4 linked regions of the Xenopus tropicalis genome follow. The protein of the gene in region 1 purifies or fractionates together with the protein of each later gene. This does not show direct contact. Links are inferred from orthologs where the notes say so. Each region holds a gene or a part of one and is shown on either strand. Other genes may lie near its edges.

Region 1 (5,519 bases):
AACAGGCAGGAAAAGAGCATTGTGCAATATAAAATGGGTCATTATACATTTAGGGGCTCTTTCAAATATGAAAGAACAAGGTGCATTGTAAAGTGCTCCAAATAAAGATGCAAAATGTAGTACTTACCAGCTCTGTAATACTGTTGTTTGTGAGAATCAATTCCGTTAAATTAGGTAAAGCATGTTCTATACCTTCCCCAATACGGCTGTGGGGAAAAATGTAATTAACACCAAGCATTACAAAAAAAAGCTTACATTTATTTTTGCAGAAAATATCTTTCACCAGCATTTACAAAAAGGGTATGGGCCATATTTATTATATCCCAATACGTTGTGCTAATGGATCCCACACAGTATATGCAGGTAGAATAGCAGAGCCCCCTTACACAGACTGTGCTAGCACGAGACCCAAATATGTCCCTTAATGGCAGCCCTAAGAGCCAGAATGGGAACATACAAACATGTTAAATAAAATGAGGCCAAACAGCAAAGAGATCTCTGCCTGAGAGTTTCCAGCCCAGTTATATAACAATCAGCATGTTTGCTTTAGCATTACAACATAATCTTTTACATAAAAACAACTAGGAACTGCACAATTCAGCCCATGGTACATAAATGGGTCTCTGCTCCCAGAGAAGTGCTTCCCTACCAATGTCACTGATACTAATGTTAAAATGCATCTAACACTTTGAGAAAGTGCAGTGCTAAACAGAGTACAGGCCATGCTGGGGTGCTTTGAGGGTTTTATGCAGGACTCTTATTACCTCTACTTGTCATTAATGAGAATAAATATGTTTTTTAACCATAAAAGGCACCAGTCAGTTTTATTTTTTTAAAAATCCAGTGAATAAATCAAGTCTGCAGCTCACAGGGTTACTTATTTAACTTTTACAAAGGCCTATAATCATTCAATTCAACCCTTTATAAAATAATGCTGGCTGCCGGTCCTAAGAGATCCACTCCATAATGAGAAGGACTTGCACTCTCTGTTTATACATGTGGTTTGGCTGCATTCAAGTAGGAATGGAATTTTGCTTTTAATGCTGATGTTATTGCTCCTTATTATGGTCTCCCCAGATGCGTACTAGCTAAAAATAAGATATGCTGATGATTCATGGGGCTTTGTAACATATACATTTTGTTGGTGATTGGAACCAGCCATTTCAAAAGCTACTCTTGAGTAATCTGTTACATTCACCCAGTCATCATTTGCTCTTAGGAGCAAGAAGGAGCTGTGGATTTAAGGTCCGATAGGCTGATGAACCCTTCGAGACTGATTAGTGGGCATAGCAAGTCTATAGACTACATGGAGACATGATGGATCTTTTGAGGAAAATTCATTCAAACAAAATGATCATACTTGGTTTGCCTTTTCTTGGTGTTATGTAACAAATCTTAAAGTCAGTTCACCCAGAAGGAATAAGGATATGCTTATGTGTTACCGAGGTATTTATTTTCTTCCTACACCAGTGATTAATGCAGTGTGTGCAGCAACCAACCCAAACGCTAATGTGAGTGAACACAGTGGCAAACAGTTTGCTGCTTTAGGGTTATAGCATACTTTTGGCTGCTAAGGTGCTTTTATTGAGAGCCAAAAGTTCAATACACCCTTTCCTTTACTGTCTGTTATAAAAAAAAAAAGCCTTTATTTTGAAATGAAGTGCATTCAGATTCAGATTCTGAATACATGTCAAAAAAGTATCATATACACAGATAGCAATGACAGTGTAAGAACCAGTAGCATATATAGCTATAATAAAGCACCAAACTTACCATATTCTGTTATTGTTTAGTAGGAGGGTCTTAAGTCTTTTCAATAAAGGAAATCCATCCAGTTTTCTAATCTCATTATCTGAACAATCAATTGTATCAAACTGGTCTAGTGTTGCCCCAAGATTCTCAATCACTGGGATTTTGTAGCCTGTGTGAGAGAATCAGAGATAACATTTACATATGAACTGAGAGTTGATAATACTGCCACTGGATATATGTGTGTGTGGCTGAGAGCAAAGAAGTATACACAGTGTCTCTGCAAACATCCTCTATGACTTTGCCAATATCTGTAGTTTCCATTTGCTCCCAAAACAAGCAACTGGGGTAGTAACACAATCCAGGTTTGAACATGAATGTGCCTCATTCCCCTGCTACTTATATCAAAAGGTTTTCTAGTGCAGATGCCCTCCCTGCCTCCCAACTGCCCACCACTTACTGAGTCAGTCTCCAACAAGGAGCAGCTTTGTCAGTGTCACTGGGCTTAGGGTCAGGCAATGTTGTGTTTGGCTAAAGGGCAAAAGCCTATCAGAACATAGCCCCAGCTACACAGCCTCACAAAGCAATAGTGGGTTTTTATTTTACTGGGGTCAGTTACCTACCCTTAAGCTGCAGGTCAAGGTTAGCAAACAAATCACTTCTGTTTTGTCTATGCACCAATTTAAACCTATTGTAAAAGTGGTAGCCTTACAAATGGCCAAGGCATATGCCCACTCTGCAAGGAATCTCCTCAAACGACAACATTTATGTTATTTCTTAATACTAATAATTTTATAAGACATGCTCACCCCAGCTGTAGTAAAACTACAACTCCAAGCAACAACTGCCCTCCCCAGCCCCAGAAGGATTTCTTTACATACAAAACCTATAAAAGGACTGAATATTAACCACGACACACACAGCTGTTACCCACACAGTGTTACAACTATGCCTAAATATTATGGATTCTTCAGCCACATTCAAATAAGTTCCATATAGTGTAATAGGGGGGAGCTGGAGCAGGCGTCCAAGTATTGTAGGGGCTCCATACTCATAATATTTGGTTGACATGACTGATACAATACAGCAGGGAACTCAAAGATATTCTCCCCACTAAAAGAATATAAGTGCATAAAGCTCTAATGCTTCTGTGCCTGCTGCCACTGTACATAAGGAATACTAGATCCTACCGCAATGGTAAGTGTGTGTGTGTATACATATATCTCATATAGAACCAACACACCAATCACACACACACTTGCCAAAAAAAATATAACCCCCCCCCCCCAGCACTTTTGGGAAGCCAATACCCCGGACTATTTAACCATACACACACTGAGTTGTTTTCCCTAATTCATTACACTGCGATCCAGTCTAAATCCCAAACTAACGGCCGGATGTTAGGGAAATAACTATAAGCTCAAACAAACAAACAAACGCAGAATACAATGGAGAGTGAGTGCAGATTGGCGGACTGGCCCTGGAAATGAGAACAACTGGCAGCCGAGAGTCTCCCAATGAGGCCGGGAGAGGCCGCCGCTCACCCCTGAGGTCCAGCTCTCGGTCCCGCACCGCGTTAGTGTACTGCGCAGCCTGCTCAATCAAATCAGCCGTGAGTTTCACCATGATGCCCGGGAAAGCTGCAAGCCAGAGCCAAAGCCAACGCGCGGCACCACACGACAGGAAGTCCACTAGAGAGTCACTTCCGCTATGGCTAGGCGCTCTACTGGCCAATCAGCAAGCCGCTTTGAAAAGGGGCGGAGCCTAGCGCTGCCTCATGTACCTGTGACGCTGTACAAGAGACAGGGGAAAGTACATGAGTAAAGAATAATCGAGCGCAAAGCTTGTGGCGACAGCTAGAAGAAGCGAAGAATAAGAAAACCTTGGAAGAATACACACGGAGCTACTAGTAGAAGCTACTTGTCATGGCTACTAAAACAGACAAAGCTGATCATTTACTGATAATTGTCTCTACGTGTGTTTTAGCAGAGGCAATTCTCAGTACTGTCTATGGCAGGGGATTTTCTGGTGATTAGTAGCCGTGACAAGTAGCTGCTACTAAGTAGCTCCCTGTATCTTCACCCTTAGGGCTCTGGCACACGGGGAGATTAGTCGCCGGCAAGATGGCAGACGCGGCGGCGCAATTTCGTGCAAATCGCCGAAAAAGCCTTGCGAGTCTTTTTCAGCGATTTGCCGAAATCGCCCCGCCGCGTCTGCCATCCCACCGGCGACTTACATTATCGCCGATGGGATGGCAGGGGAAGGCAACTCGGGGAGATTAGTCGCCCGCGAACAGGGAGTTTTGCCGCGGGCGACTAATCTCCCCGTGTGCCAGAGCCCTTAAGGTGCCCATACACAAGGTGCCTTACCCTGGGGCCAAACGATTGAATTATTGCGGCGGATATAGGTCCGGGGACTGCATCAACAAGCCAACGCGGTCGCGGGCGACTAATCTCCCCGTGTGCCAGAGCCCAAAAGGTGATTGAGGGAAATCTAAATCAGTGGAAGCTACACTATTAGCTACTGTTGTTTCATTAAGAAATGGGTGAATCAGGACCTGCTAAGTCAGTAAGGACATAATTACCAACCCAAGCAAAGTTTTCTCTGCACAGTTACTAATAGCAACCAGTGATTAGCCTTGGTCTGCAGCAGGTCAGAGACTGAATGGGAATGACTGGAATTGTACTGGTTAGTAATAATGCACTGATATACCAATGCTTAAGTGTTGGTAAAAGAGCCGCAGTAGGAGGCTAAGCCAAGTGAATGCAGTTAGCAGCCTATACATGGGTAATGCAAAGAAACTTCTCAGAGGAGACAGATGTATGGGGTTTGGTATTAGCCTTTATGAAGGGGCTGAATTGGATCATGTTGCTTGTGTGTGGCTTTTGCCAAATTTAAAAAATAAGATGGAAGAAAGAGCCTGGATTTGCTTCAGTTTGCACCCATATTTGCACAAGACCCTCTTATGATAAAATCATTACTCTGGGGCCAAATGATCAGATGATCAGAGTTTGGCCTAGCATGCTAGTGCCCGACCAGGAAATGCTAATGTAGCAACCATGCCAAACCGATGGAATGTTTTCCATATTTAGTTTTCACAACTTTTTATATATGGTATTTATTTAATATACCATGGCACAAATGAAGGAATGTCTAATGTATTTCATTCAATAAATGGCGTCCATTGGTACCTACTTATAGTATAAGGTGGTAGGATGAAGGTGGGAGTGAATGTTCTTAGGAAATGTGGGGGCAGATTGGAGCTGTGTGGGAAAAGGGTCATTTGCCCCATCTTGCACTGCCGTCACCTTATGTATCAATGCTGCATTTTACTGAAATGGTGACAAGGTTCTCTCTGCTTCTAAAACCTTTTTCTTTTCCATATCTCTTTAAAGATGGTTTAAGGTACCCAAGCAAAATAAAATTTTAGGTAAAGGCTCATTTTCAGGTCTCCTGTTTGCCCTTATGCAGAGCTCATTGTCTGCTTCAGTCCCATGTCACACATTCAGCCATTTTAACCCTATCCTTGTATGTGTGTGTATGGGTCCAAAGAATTCACACATTGAAACATCTTTTTGCTGCTAGCTTTAAAAGAAAAATTGCGATGAGATAAAACGCTTTTACAGTTAACCAAATAGAAACCTGTAGGGACTCAAAATATGATGATATTGCTAATACTCAAAGGAAAACGATACCCCCAGAAGGAATACTTAACCGACAGACAGTTTATTTTATGTTCAGTGACTTATTAAATATGGCAATTTTCTATT
Region 2 (4,553 bases), on another chromosome or scaffold:
CCCACATTGTGGAACTAACATCACCAATGGCAACATAGCTAAGGAATTCTCAGTTGAAGTATCTGTTGTTAAATTAAAAAGGGCTGATATGGGATTATGCCATATCAACATAAGAAAAGGCATGGGTGGAGGTTGTTTGAAAAGATAATAGTTTATCGTGATGTGCCAACAACCACACAGCAATTTTAAACTAGTACTGACTGGATCCTCAGAGCAAGTTTTTTTTTTTTTTTTTTTTTTTTGAAACAAGGACATTTGTCTTCATTATATATAGTTTTTTTTAGTTATTTCACTTTTTGTTCAGCAGCTCTGCAGTTTTGCATTTCAGCAGCTATCTGGTTGCTAGTAACCAAATTACCTTAGCAACCAGTGGTTTGTATGGGAGACTATTATATGGACAGGAGAGGACCTAAGTTGAAAAATAAGGTATAAAAAGTAACAACAACATTGTAGGCTAGCAGAGCATAGGTCAGTGATCCCCAATCTGAAAGCTAGAAAGAGTCAAAAGAAGGCGGCAAATAATGATAAAACTATAAATAATAATGAAGACCAATTGAAAAGTTGCTTAAAATTGGCCATTCTAACATACTAAAAGTTAACTTGAAGGTGAACCACCCCTTTAAAATGGTAGTGGCAAATACAGGTATGAGATCAGTTACTACTAGAAAAAAAAATATATATTTTTATTAAAAAAAATCCAGTGCTGGACATTTAATAGGTGATCCAGGACTGCAGGCAGCCAGTTAAAGATCGTGACTCCATGGGACACTTGGGAGGTATGATATCCTTTTCCCTTGGTGCCACAGTTATTCGCCACAGGTTAACAGTATACCACTACTTTTGTTGCACATTATAAAGAGTAAGCCTAAATACCTTGCAACCTGTTCTAAATGTATTTAATGGTTTCTTTACATTATAGGATAAAAGAAGATGTTAAATGAGAAGGGGCATTGTTGTAAAAGACATTTTAATGATTTCTTCAACATTACAAAATCAGTTTTTCACAAAAAGATAAGATCACACAGAAAATCCAAAGGCAGGATCACCTCTTCTTGAATCCATACTTCTTTCTTTCGTAAAAGAGATCTGTTTTGGAGCTGCCTAAATTTACAATTTTGGGACAACCATCTCTCTGCAAAATAGATGTAGAAAAGTAATGAAAACGTTAATAACAAAACTATAAACACAAGTAATTAAAGGGGGCCTGTCACCCTAAGAAATAATTCCAAATAATTTTCTATTGTGTTTGTCAAGCAAAATAAACTTCACTTACAATATATAAATAATATACATCTTGTTTCCTTCAGTCTTGGAATTACATAATCACAGCAAACAGGCAGGTTCCATTTTGTAGACACTTATTAAAGCTAGCTTTGTATCACCCCAAAATCTTGTATATTAGCCAGAATGGGGGGGCCATACCCACGTACTGGCTACACAATTAGATGGTGAGGAGAAACGGGGAAAGCGAGTTCTGAATGGAAAATAAAAGTAACTGCCTGCCCCGCCTCTATGCCTAGGCATAGAGGCAGGGCAGGCAATACATGATTGGCAGCTGTGATATTTAAATGCCTTTATAATGGCTATGGATGTGTTTTACCTGAAAACAATACTTAATATTGTGTATATTTCCAAAAAAGAAAAAAAATTCCTGTATTTCTGAAAAAAAAAATTTTCTTTTTAAAAGATGCTGGCACTTATGTTCTTGCAGACCACAATTCCAGGCTACTGTCATTACAGAAGTGGGATGGTTTTGGCTCCTTTGGTGTTGTGAATTTGCACATAATTGCCCATGTGCTATTTAAGGCAATGTAAAAATCTTGTAATGTAACAAAAAAGTAACAGAAGATTTTTAAGCTTTTATGAAAAAAAAAAAAGGCATAAAAGGGAATTTTTAGGTGATGACTATGTAACTAACTGTGGAAGAACATGGAAAAAAATATCCTTTAATAGTTTAGGAAAAATGCAGTACATTTAGATGGAAAATTAGGAAACCAGATTATTCCTGCATGTCACATAAGAAAATGGGAAGTGATACAGCTTGCCTTGGGAAAAGATTTTGTGTATACAGAATGCACGGTCCTGGGGTTTTCCCGAATATAGGGTGCTTCTGTAAACTGGAGCATTGTGCCCTAAGGCTACCAAAATAAATACAACAATTATGAATATCCAACATGTGCTGCCATCATTACCGATTATATGCAGCTTCATTATCACCAAGTGCAAGATACGGTCTAATTATTAGAGAAAAAAATAAAGCAAGCAACTCTTCCCTTACTAACATCTTTTGGATAATGGGATTCTGGGTTCTAGATCCCTCACTTAAACTAATTTAATCAGTAAAGACCACACAAAACATGTAATTTAATAGCACAGGAAACATTAACCATTTCTGACAGTAACTAAAAATGGCAGCTTCAACTCTAAATTATAGAAATAAAGTTTGTTATTCCAACATTCCGGTCTTCCTTGAGACCTTTATCAAGGAAGACCGAAACGTTGAAATAACAAATAAACTTTATTTCTTTTTCACCATACTTTTAAATCCTGTGAGTGCCCTGCTTTATATGAAAGTCTATATTTACTCTTCGGCGGTGTGCACCCAGGCACACTCTCTAATAAGCGAATGCAGCTATTTTTTGCTATATATTTTTTTTTATTTTGTCTTTACTTACATCTTTCTCCTGGATGGTGCATTCTTTGCAGTAATAAGCATCTGAAACCCCAGGCCCTCCGCAGATCACACATCGCCCTTGGTAAGAGCCGTAGTTACATTCGTCACAAATACGCACAAGAGTGCACGGGCGTACATACGAGTCACAAATCACACACTTCCCATCACCTGCAGATTAAAAAAAATAATTAAATTGTTAATTTCTTAACAGGCTTGGGTACTCTCCAGATATGCACATTTTTTTTTTTGCTCCTGTAACAGAGATAAAAGGACATGGCAAGCAGTGTCGGTTTATTAGGGCAATGAGAGTGTTATTCTCTCTAAGGTGACTAACTGGGTGATGGTAAATTAAAAAAATCCACTCGTTTGCTGAAAAATGGACTGGTCCAAGTTTCCATTCCATTCTCTGTTGCCATCTTGTGTAAAGTCCCAGGAATCCCTTGCAGCTGATTACGCACACATGCAGGAAAGATAAATCCCTGATTTTACTCTACTGCACACAATTTCCTATGCAAGCCTATAGTACATGCCAAGGGATCATTTGGAAGATGGCTGTGCTGTGCTAATGAAATACACCACTATGCTAGTGCACCTTTCAGTAAAGAGGAGAGCAAGCCCAAAATCCAAGGTAACGGATTATATTCCTTAGGGACTCCCTAATTAATTCCTTACCCTTTAAGACTTGTAATACTATAACTATACATGGTAAGACTGAAAAATGTTACAAATCAATTAAACTCAAAAAGACAAGGCTATTCAGCTCCAACTCAATGGACTTTTAGTCCAGAACTGTTGCACTCTTGATTTGCAGCCATCCTGTTTGATAATTTAAAAAGGCAATGATTTGCACCCCATACCATGCTGTGATATATAGGTAATGAAAGACTAAAGGTCCCCATACACGGGCCGATAGTAGCTGCCGATATCAGTCCCTTGGGCCGATTCAGCAGCTAATTGGCCCGTGTAAGCGCACTCCCAACAGGCCTGCCCGACCGATATCTGGCCTCAAATTGGCCAGATCTCGATGGGGCAGGTTAGAAAATCTAGTTGGATCGTGGACCGCATCGGCTCATTGATGCAGTCCCCGGACCGACTTTTCCTATACCTGCTGTTATAATTCGATCATTTGGCCCCAGGGATCGAATTACCCTGGATTCTCCCGATATCGCCCACCCATAGGTGGGGGATATCGGGAGAAGATCCGCTCGCTTGGCGACATCGCCAAGCGAGCGGATCTTATGGTGTATGAGGACCTTAAGTCTAACCTTACATGCACCCCACAACTACACACACTTTTAAACAGACTGTAAATTCTTGATTTTCCCCACTCAGCAGATGTTAAGCAATGTCATTTTTTTAATAATGTCTAATGTAATACAACTGCTGAATATAGAATATATAATCAGATATATCAGAGATATCAGATATAGGACTGGCAGCAACACTTAAAAACCATTGCTTGTTGAGAAATAATCAGTTGCACAAAGAAGACAAAGGTGAAACATTTTTTGCATATGAACAAATGCAATTTATATTTTAAAAGTTTAAGAATTATATATACTCACATTTTTCACAGAGTCTTCCAATAGCTGCAATAGAAAATTATAAATGTAAGTGTTTATATATATATATATATATATATATATATATATATATATATATATATTAAACAGTGGTCATCATGTTGTACACATATCTTAAATATCTAAAATGCTTTAAAGGACATGTAAAACAAACAAAAATGTAATCAGTGAACAGCCTCATTGAAATCTTTAAATACCTGCCACTCCTGTTGTTCAAACGGTTAATAGAAAGGCTGCAGTATCCCCTTAATCACTTAGGATTTCTTTTCCTCCTCTAACCCGCTCTGCCCCATCCC
Region 3 (5,061 bases), about 32 Mb from region 1:
GCTAGCTGACTTTTAATTTAACTTTTAATATGTTGCAGACATTGATATTCTGAGACAATTAGAAATTGGTCTTCATTTATGGTTTTTCAGTTATTTAGATTTTTGATCAGCAGCTCTCCATTTGGTTATTAAGCAGGTTGCTAGGGTCTTTCTTACCCTAGTAACCAGGCAGTGGTTTAAACAAGAGATGCGAATATGAATAGTAGAAGGAATGCACAGAAAGGTAAGTAATAAAGATTAACAATATTAATAAAATTGTAGCCTTACAGAGCAATAGTGTTTAGCTGCTTGGGTCAGTGGCCCCCATTTGAAAGCTGGAAAGAGGCAGAAGAGAAAGGCAAACAATTCAAAAACCATAAAAAAAAAAAATGAAAACTAATTGCAAAGTTGCTAGGAAAAGGGTATTCTATAACAAACTAAAAGTTAGCTTAAAAGTGAACCAACCCTTAAAGTGGTTCTGTCAGACAAAATCTGCCCATGTGGCAAATGGGACTGATCTTATCTATGTTCAGCTTCATGTCATAATGCTTTTATTTTTAGCACTTTTTTATTCTTTATACTAATACCCACCCACTTTCTGAATATACCATAGACTGAAAAGCGTTCTAAAATGTAGTGTAAGTGCAATAACTTTGATTACTATTTGTTTTCTATGTTAAGTGAAGTTGGAATGAAAACCTGCACAGAAGATCACACCAGACAGCTCTCATTTGATATGATATTGCAAGAGTGGAAGTGGAAGCATCACTTCAGAAATCACATTTAACTTCAAAAGAAGACAATCAGTATTATTCACTGACTGCACATAAAGACTGATTTTTCATACAAGAAGTTCCTGGAAGCATAAAAACTGCTTATTGCTTAGAATGCAAAGTTTACTAGGTAGCATTATTCAGAATATAGATTTAAAAAGTTACAGGTTCATTAAAGGTCTTGCTGGGCTATACTGGACTATAGAGCCAGAAGCAGCTAACAGCTAAAATTCTACCAAACCCATAGCAGTTATCATTTTCTTATTGTTTGAAGCAAACCTGACAAACAAGTCAGAAAAACAATATTCCATGTTGCTCCCATGTGAGAAACCCTATGTTAGGTATTATTTTTATTGGTGACAACAATGGCATGACTTTAAGTCTAAGGGGCTGATTTACTAAGACACGAATTCGAATTGGAAAAATTCCGATTGGAAAACGAACATTTTGCGACTTTTTCGTATTTTTTGCGATTTTTTCAGCGCCTTTACGACTTTTCGGAAATTATCGCGACTTTTTCGTTACCAATACGATTTGCGCGAAAAAACGCGAGTTTTTCGTAGCCATTATTTGCGCGAAAAAATGCGAGTTTTTCGTAGCCATTCCGAAAGTTGCGCAAAATCTGGCGATTTTTTCGTAGCGTTAAAAACTTAAAAGGCGCAACGTTTCGCGCAAGTTTTAACTCTATGAAAAAATCGCGACTTTTCGCGCAAGTTTTAACGCTACGAAAAAAATCGCCAGATTTTGCGCAACTTTCGGAATGGCTACGAAAAACTCGCGTTTTTTCGCAAAAAATCGTATTGGTAACGAAAAAGTCGCGATCATTTCCGAAAAAATCGCAAAATACCGATCATTACGAAAAAATCGCAAAATACCGATCATTACGAAAAAATCGCAATCGGACGCATTCGGCCCGTTCGTGGGTTAGTAAATGTGCCCCTAAGAGTGCAGCTTTTATGACCTTCCATTTGCTTAATATTTGCTATAGTATATTACATAACTTGGGAAGTGATGCAGCCTACTATACCTGGATTTCTGTGTGTATTACAATACTTCATTATTATCTCGGACAAACAAGTTCTGAAATAGGTTTAATTTATCATTGATCACTTTGTTATGCACACAAAAATCTCAGTTTCGGTAAAACAAGCAATTTACCTTTAATTGCAGATTCAACCCTTTCAAATTCCAAAAATATTCTTACAGCCTCATCATCTGGTGTACCAGGAATCTGGAAACAAAAACACACACAGCAATTATTAGAATTATTATAATTTTGACTTGAGCACAGCCAACATCTTTTAAGACAAGCCTATATATAAGTATGCTTGCCCTTCCATTTGTGTCACTTATGCAGTGTTAAAGAATTACATATCTCAACATACTTCAATAGCAAAAACCTATTGAAAGGCTTATGACCATATTATTTGGTTAATTTTTGTCAAAGTGTACCCTAGTTTTCCTATATAGACTCATAGCTTCTGCCAAGTCAGAATAAGTATATAAGAATCAAGTATACTAACTCATTTTTGTTGTTGTTTTTTTCTTTTTGAAAAACAAAGGTTTCAGCAATCTTCAGTTACAGTCTATTGAAGGATACTATGATATTTGTATATACACAATAAACTGAGCATAATTTGAGGGATAATGTGACCTATATAAAAAAAATATTCAGAAATGAGGTGACACACAGAAAGACATGTGGTGTCAAAACTCATGACTTTGCAAATTACTATAGGGAGTGCATCATCGTCCATATATTTTAACACCCTTTGATATTGGCAAAAACGTAATGCTAAAAAGGACGGATCCCAGAGAGGCTGAATCTTTCAAAAGTAAATATGGGGAGGGGTACCACTCTCTGTCAAACCCTGCACCGTCAAATATTGCAACAATTTAATAACATTCCTAAACAAAAATGACAAAGGATTGGGGATTTCATCATCTACAGAACATAATATCGTTAAAAAATTTAGAGGATTAAGAAATCACAGTACACAAGGAACAAGGCCAAAAACCAATATTGTATGGCCATAATCTTTGGGCCCTCAGTTGGCACTGCATTTAAAACAGACATGATTCTGTAGTGGAAATCACTGCAGGGGCTCCGGAATATTTCCAAAAACCACTGTCTGAACATGGTTAATCACTGCATCATTTACAATGCAAAGAAAAAAAACATATATAAAAATGATTCAGAAACACTACCACCTTCTCTGGGTCCAAGCTCATTCAGATGGACTGAGGCAAAGTGGAAAACTTTCCTGTGGTGAAATTCTTTTCGGTAAATTATATATGCTGCCTCCTCCGGGCTGAAGAGAAGGACTATCTGGGCTTATCAATGCACATTTCAAAAGCCAGTAAATGGTTACAAGAGTGTTGTTAAAAGAAGAGGTGGTCAAACACAGTGGGAAACACTACCCTGTTTTAAATTTTCAAAATCAAAATGTGCACATATTTTTCAGAAAACAACACTGATATGGGACAACAACAAACTACTGCTTTGTAATGACCAAATTTACTGTTACAATTTTATTTGTTACAATTTCTGTTTAGGCCCTCGCCTATTCAACTTCCAGTCTGTTGCTGAAACCACTGCCTGGTGCTACTGTTAAAGAGTCCCTAGTAGCAAAATACGATTAAAACTGGACAGCTGCTAAACAAAAAGCTAAGTTTTAAAAAAAAATAAAATAAATAATATTAACAAAAAAAAAATATATATGCCATTTTGTGCACTTTTTAGCTTAATTTATACCTGCTCACTTCCATTCCCAGTTCTTCTGATCGAAGCCATGTGCTCAATGTCAGTGTACCCCTACAAGCATCTAACTAAAAACGAATCTTATTTTATCTGGCCTTTAGGATGGGTGCCCTTGAATACTGTTGCTGCATTTCATAAACACAGTTACAATACTAAGGATACACCACTGCTACTGCATAACATACTAAGGCAGCACTCATATCATTAGTACTAAGTAAAGCAAAAGCACGACACCTATACCATACATGCTGGTTATTACCTCAAAAATGACACATTTTCCAACTTTGCCGTATTTTTCACACTCTTCCTTTGTTTCAGCTTCCAGATCTTCATCAACTTCCCCAGCACCTACCATGTTCTAGAAGTAGAAATCAGCAGAATGAGCTTTTGACAACAAAAATTGAGTGTTTTCCAATAGCAGAAAAAGCGCAAATTACAATTATAAAAAAGTCTCCCTATGAACATATTTTTGGCCGATAAACCTTGGGCTGCTGCCCTTCTTACCTGAAGCAAAACAACTTTAGTAGGATTCTTTAGTATTTCTGTCAGAGGGTTTGGATCTGCTTTCTTAGCTGCTTCAACTGTAAGAGATTAAATTTCTATTTAAAACACTTTAAATGAAAAAAATCACCAATGAAGCAAGGAATCTGCACTATTAGGCGTTATTGTGAAACTCTTGACTTTGTGTATATATATATATATATATATATATATATATATATATATATATATATATATATATATATACATACACATATACATACATACATACATACACACACACACCCATGTTAAAAAAAAAAAAAAACTTGGGAAAAAAACAAAAATATTTATTTATATGCACTACATAAGTTATATCCACATATCCATACACACACTTTATATATTAGTATCTGAAAATTGTTACTCAAAACAACAAACCTTTGTCAGCTAAGTCACCAATAATAATTTTGCCTCCCCTCTTGCTTGTCTTTTCAACAGAAAGTGCAGTGCTGAGACCCTGCTCGTGCTTGCCAAGGCCCTGTCCTTCCCGAAAGCCATACTTCTGCATGATTTTGTGGGCCACAGTACCACTTTAAAAACAGAAACAAAGTACACAAAACCTCAGCTTATTTTTGCCCCCTACAGTAGCTGTAAGTAAATATGAACCCATATAAAGTGATGAGCAAGGGAGTAGCACAGTCACCATATATACATGGAATTTTGCCCATTTCAGTTTTATACATACTTTCAGAAAAGTTACCTAATATGCCACTGCACCTTAATTTTTAATTATCCCTAAGGATTTTCATAAAGAAAATATCTAGGCTAATCACACAGAATGAGTTTTCGATCGTCACAGTGAAGTTTCAGGTGGAAACCAGTGCAAAGACACCACTATCTGCCTGTCAGTAATTACCCTAGAGATGTGCCTATGGAACACCGGACAGGGACAGGTGAGATGCGTTTTGTTTCTATTGTAAAACAATAGCAGTCCCATGTCTGAGAGATGTTTAGTACAAAAAATATCATACAAAGCCAGACAAGCATTCTGCCACATTTGATAAT
Region 4 (5,061 bases), on another chromosome or scaffold:
TGATGAGAGGCCAGTGTCAGAAAAATCTAGGCTGTCTCAAAAAAGTGACCTTTCCCCTGTGCGGACTGAAAGCCCAGCTTGTAAAAGCTGTTCAGCCTCCCCATCTAATTCCACCTCTCCACATAAATCTGGCATTGTTGTTTCAACAAAGCTGAAGTCCCCATCTCCCCCACTTCTGGAAAAACACACAGATAAAGTGGAAGGAAGTCCAGACACTAAACAGTCTGGGTACACAAAAAAAGATATTGCTCCCAACAAGAGAGACTCAGGCATACTCTTGCCTAGCAGCAAGGGTTCCCCTGCACAGACGGAGCATGTCCTGGATGAATGTAGCAGGTCACCACCAAGACTACTTAGAGCACCAGCTGGCTCCGAAACAACTGCAGCATCTAAAAGTGGGGAAGACCAGTCCGATGTAATATTCCAAGACCAGAAAAGAGAGAGTAAAGAGTCCCCAAAAGATGAGGCTCTAACGCTGACTGAAAGCCCAGCCTGTACCATGATGGCAAATGTAGAAAATAGGAAGGAGAGGATCGCATCACCGCCACTGACCTCTGTTGGAGAAACCGTGGCTTCACCATCTTTGACCACAAAGTCAAGAAGGCAGAGTAGTTCGTCGGACAGCTCTTCCTCTTCGTCCTCAAGCTCAGACTCTAGTCCCAAGAAGCCTTCTGTGGATTCCGGGAATGTACCTGCTGTGGACAGGTGGGTGTATCTTACTAATAATATTTCTAGTGCCCATATTACTGATCAGACCTCTCCTCATAAGATGTAAAAGAGAAAGCTAATTTATTTTGGTCTGGAGAAGCCTTTGTTGGCCTCTTTCCTGACACCCAAAGTCCAGCAACCAATTCATAAGTTAAATGTGTTGGTTCCTGGCTATTGGGTGCTTCTTGCTCTTGTATTTATCTACTCTGGCAGTTGATAACCTGTCTTCACAAAAATTGGCTCTCATGCTTGCACATTTTGACACTAACTGCTAAAAATGAAGGTACTGGTAGCTGTGTGCAGTTGGGGGTGTTGGTACTTTAGATGTCCAGGGGTGAAATACAGTTAAACCTTGCCTGCTGCAAAGCCTGGAACTTGAACCTACAGACCACCTCCCCCACCCAACTCTCATCGCTAACTGTTTGGCTCTGTGGGTTGATTTTTTGCAATATCTGAGTCAGGGCGTTCTCTTCTGAACCTTGTCCATTATGTGCCAGACATCTTGGTCCACCAAGTTAGGTGCCCTTGAGTTTTTCAACTTTTATTTAAAATTGTATATAACCCTTAGTCTTTGTTGCAGTCTACAGTAAGCCTCTTGACCTGTATGCGCCCATACATTTACACACGCATATCCTACATATGTATGTATCCTAATTAAGTCTCTTATTTACTATTCCTTGCAGGGTTCCCAGCCCCATGACGGCTGAACCCCCCAAAGCAGCAGAGCCCCCTGTTCCTTTAGAAAGGAAACGGAGCTCACGGAGCCGCAGCTCATCCGCTTCTTCATCATCATCTTCCTCCTCGTCATCCTCCAGTTCTTCGTCCAATTCCGATTCCTCCAACTCGTCATCCTCTTCCTCGAGCTCCTCCTCATCTTCCTCCTCCTCATCCTCCAACAAAGCCAGCAGCAAAAAAGCAGCGTCTCCCGTTACTAGAAGGTGGGTTCCGTCTCTTCCTGTTTAGCTGCCTGAGCAATTATCACTTGTAATTAAGAGATGTGATTTATACTGATGGAAATAATGTTTATCTTGCATCCCACAGGTCACGCAGCCCACGGAAACCTATCGACTCTCTGCGTGACTCCCGGTCTCTAAGTTACTCCCCAGAAGAACGTAGGCGTCAACCATCTCCCCCACCCCCGCGAAGGAGGTAAGTCAAGGCCTTCCTCTAGGAATGTTCCCACTCCAATGGCAGAGGTTAATGGGAATAATCAATTATAAAGACTTAAAAGGGAATTCTCTTTAGGGATGCATCAAATCCGTTATTTTTGGCTTCTGCCGAACCCCAAATCCTTAGTTAAAGATTCAGACCCAAATCCTAATTTGCATATGGAAGTTAGGCTACAGAAGGGTTAAATTGATGTGCTTGTGTAAAAATTTTGCTTTTTCGGATTTCCTGCTGAAAAAGGAAACCTGTTATCCGGAAAGCTCCAAATTACGGAAAGCCCGTCTCCCATAGGCTCCATTTTAACCAAATAATTCAGAATTTTAAAAGTGATTTCCTTTTTCTCTGTAATAATAAAACAGTACCTTGTACTTGATCCCAACTAAGATATAATTACCCCTTATTGGGGGCAGAACAGCCCTATTGGGTTTATTTCATGGTTAAATGATTCCCTTTTCTCTGTAATAATAAAACAGTACCTTGTACTTGATCCCAACTAAGATATAATTACCCCTTATTGGTGGCAGAACAGCCCTATTGGGTTTATTTCATGGTTAAATGATTCCCTTTTCTCTGTAATAATAAAACAGTACCTGTACTTGATCCCAACTAAGATATAATTACCCCTAATTGGGGGCAGAACAGCCCTATTGGGTTTATTTAATGGTTAAATGATTCCCTTTTCTCTGTAATAATAAAACAGTACCTGTACTTGATCCCAACTAAGATATAATTACCCCTTATTGGGGCAGAACAGCCCTATTGGGTTTATTTCATGGTTAAATGATTCCCTTTTCTCTGTAATAATAAAACAGTACCTGTACTTGATCCCAACTAAGATATAATTACCCCTTATTGGGGGCAGAACAGCCCTATTGGGTTTATTTAATGGTTTAAATGATTCCCTTTTCTCTGTAATAATAAAACAGTACCTGTACTTGATCCCAACTAAGATATAATTACCCCTTATTGGGGCAGAACAGCCCTATTGGGTTTATTTAATGGTTAAATGATTCCCTTTTCTCTGTAATAATAAAACAGTACCTGTACTTGATCCCAACTAAGATATAATTACCCCTTATTGGGGCAGAACAGCCCTATTGGGTTTATTTCATGGTTAAATGATTCCCTTTTCTCTGTAATAATAAAACAGTACCTGTACTTGATCCCAACTAAGATATAATTACCCCTTATTGGTTGCAAAACAATCTTATTGGGTTTAATTAATGTTTTATTAATTTTTTAGTAGACTTAAGGTATGGAGATCCAAATTACAGAAAGAACCCTTATCCAGAATACCCCGAGCATTCTGGATAATGGGTCCTATACCTGTATACCAAACTGAATCCTGGATCCCCCTACTTCTCTTCACATAAATTTGGGGTGCTACAGTTATTAGGGCATCTCTTCTACCCAAACTATATATGCTGTGTAGAAAGGAACTAAAATGCAGTTTTTTACCAATTTATTAACGTTGGGTCTTCAGGTGTTAGTGGGCTGCAACTCCCAGCATGTTTTAGCCCTTAATAGTAAGGGACGCTGGGATTTGTAGTCTAGCACTACCTGGGGACCCAAGGTTAAGAATCAGATTTGAACAAAGATAGATTGTGTGTGTGTAATATGGTCTTAACCTGCCTGTGATATTCTTATTCCCTGCTTTTCTATTACACACCCTTCGTATCACCCATTTCCTCCATGTTTTTTTTTCCCCTACACATTGCCAAGCCACTCACTCGTTTTTTTTATTGGTAGAAGCCTGCCTCTTACGCTGTCCTTTATTTGTGTATTAACCCATCCTTTATTTACTGTAGAGAAAGGGATTCTGGGAGGAATCAGGAGTCGCCTGAACGGAAGAGGCGAAAGGACTCGCCCAACTCCAGATACTCTCACAAAAGAACTTCGAGGTATTTACCGGCTCTGTCTATTTTTCAAGGGGGGGGAGAGGCGCTTACTGGTGTAGGGCAAAGCTTTTGCTTTTCTGTTTGGCCGTCACCCACACTGACGAACAGCAGGGTGCTCATGTGACATTTTACAATATCAAACATATAAAAAAAATGTAATTTGCAAATGCTCCTCAGTTCGGCCCAAAATCCAGCTTCCAGGATTATACGGTGGTGGTCTAAAATTTCTCTGATCGGCCTAAAGACTCAACTAAAGACAACCGCTGTAATATCACCCACCGCCCTAAGGGGGTGCCAGTCCCAAACTAGAGGCTTTATGCTTTATTTAATGAACAGAACATATAGAATTAGATTTCTCATTTGTGGGAGTAGACTTGGCTTCCTTTTACAAAAGCATAGGGGGGCGGGGTGGGGATTGCTTATTTCATGAACGCGCACATAGGCCGAGGGTTTATACATGTTTAGTACGTGTAGGCTCAGTAAATATGCTGTAACGGATTAAAGGAGAAGGAAAGGCTAATAAAGAGTTAATCTCAAGCTGCAGGCATACCTTCAGTTCTCTCAATAGCGCCCTTAAGTCTCCCTATATTTCACCTGTTCAGATGATCAGAAGCCAAATAGGAAGAAAAAACGCTGATCTGTGTAAAGAATGCTCCCATAATGCTTTGCTCCTGCACAGACACCCAGACTAAGTGTACATGCTCAGTTAAACTATGAGTCAGCTCCCTGCTGATTGGCTCAGATCCACATTCCTGGTGGGGGGGGGGGGTGAGTTCCTAGCATTCTTGAGGGAGGGGGGAGCAGGAAAGAGCAGAAAGCTGCGTGTCTCTGGCACAGGAATTAGACACAACTTATCGTTTGACAGAGAACTCATTGCAGTGTTTCTGTGAGTGCTTAAGGCTGTCTTTACATAGACCTTTCTGATAAAGCTTACTGAGTTTTTATCTTTCTCCTTTAAAGTGACCGTATGTAACACATTCATTCCCGCCTCTCTCTATCAGGTCTCCGTGATCCGTCGCCATCGAGGAATTTTCATAACTGTTTCCTCCATCTATCTGTAATGACTATGGGACTTGGTTCGTTCGGTGACCCTTTTTTGCCTGCAAGGGTGCAGACTATTTACTTACATATTGCTTTTTTTTGGTGGGGGGGGGGGGAGCCTGAGGCAGCTGAAATTGAGACTGATAACAGGGGGCCTGTGACTCCCCTGAACACAGTGTGTCTGCCTGCACTACACTGGGAATGGCTCCCCCTGCCCATACCGCCCTGAGGATCTTAAACACAGAAG

Evidence for each region. Proteins that work in one complex are often made in the same cells at the same time.
Region 2: the proteins of snrpa1 (region 1) and phf5a purify together in Homo sapiens (affinity purification with mass spectrometry; 4 studies listed by BioGRID and IntAct, with this or other methods). This does not show direct contact. The link is inferred for Xenopus tropicalis from reciprocal best matches to the Homo sapiens genes SNRPA1 and PHF5A.
Region 3: the proteins of snrpa1 (region 1) and rbm17 purify together in Homo sapiens (affinity purification with mass spectrometry; 5 studies listed by BioGRID and IntAct, with this or other methods). This does not show direct contact. The link is inferred for Xenopus tropicalis from reciprocal best matches to the Homo sapiens genes SNRPA1 and RBM17.
Region 4: the proteins of snrpa1 (region 1) and srrm2 fractionate together in Homo sapiens (co-fractionation; 3 studies listed by BioGRID, with this or other methods). This does not show direct contact. The link is inferred for Xenopus tropicalis from reciprocal best matches to the Homo sapiens genes SNRPA1 and SRRM2.

What each region holds. Positions count from the first base shown.
Region 1 is NC_030679.2:115,912,115-115,917,633, forward strand, and holds the start of snrpa1 (U2 small nuclear ribonucleoprotein A'), read right to left. Parts: upstream 3,465-5,519; 5' UTR 3,376-3,464; coding exon 3,294-3,375; intron 1,922-3,293; coding exon 1,774-1,921; intron 207-1,773; coding exon 128-206; intron 1-127. UniProt on the Homo sapiens protein: Involved in pre-mRNA splicing as component of the spliceosome. Associated with sn-RNP U2, where it contributes to the binding of stem loop IV of U2 snRNA.
Region 2 is NC_030680.2:120,354,519-120,359,071, reverse strand, and holds the end of phf5a (PHD finger-like domain-containing protein 5A), read right to left. Parts: intron 4,264-4,553; coding exon 4,240-4,263; intron 2,843-4,239; coding exon 2,676-2,842; intron 1,133-2,675; coding exon 1,043-1,132; 3' UTR 951-1,042; downstream 1-950.
Region 3 is NC_030679.2:84,301,487-84,306,547, forward strand, and holds part of rbm17 (splicing factor 45), read right to left. Parts: intron 4,587-5,061; coding exon 4,435-4,586; intron 4,095-4,434; coding exon 4,018-4,094; intron 3,872-4,017; coding exon 3,773-3,871; intron 1,984-3,772; coding exon 1,911-1,983; intron 1-1,910. UniProt on the Homo sapiens protein: Splice factor that binds to the single-stranded 3'AG at the exon/intron border and promotes its utilization in the second catalytic step. Involved in the regulation of alternative splicing and the utilization of cryptic splice sites.
Region 4 is NC_030685.2:12,509,206-12,514,266, forward strand, and holds part of srrm2 (serine/arginine repetitive matrix protein 2), read left to right. Parts: coding exon 1-705; intron 706-1,391; coding exon 1,392-1,646; intron 1,647-1,749; coding exon 1,750-1,857; intron 1,858-3,683; coding exon 3,684-3,776; intron 3,777-4,774; coding exon 4,775-4,784; 3' UTR 4,785-5,061. UniProt on the Homo sapiens protein: Required for pre-mRNA splicing as component of the spliceosome. As a component of the minor spliceosome, involved in the splicing of U12-type introns in pre-mRNAs.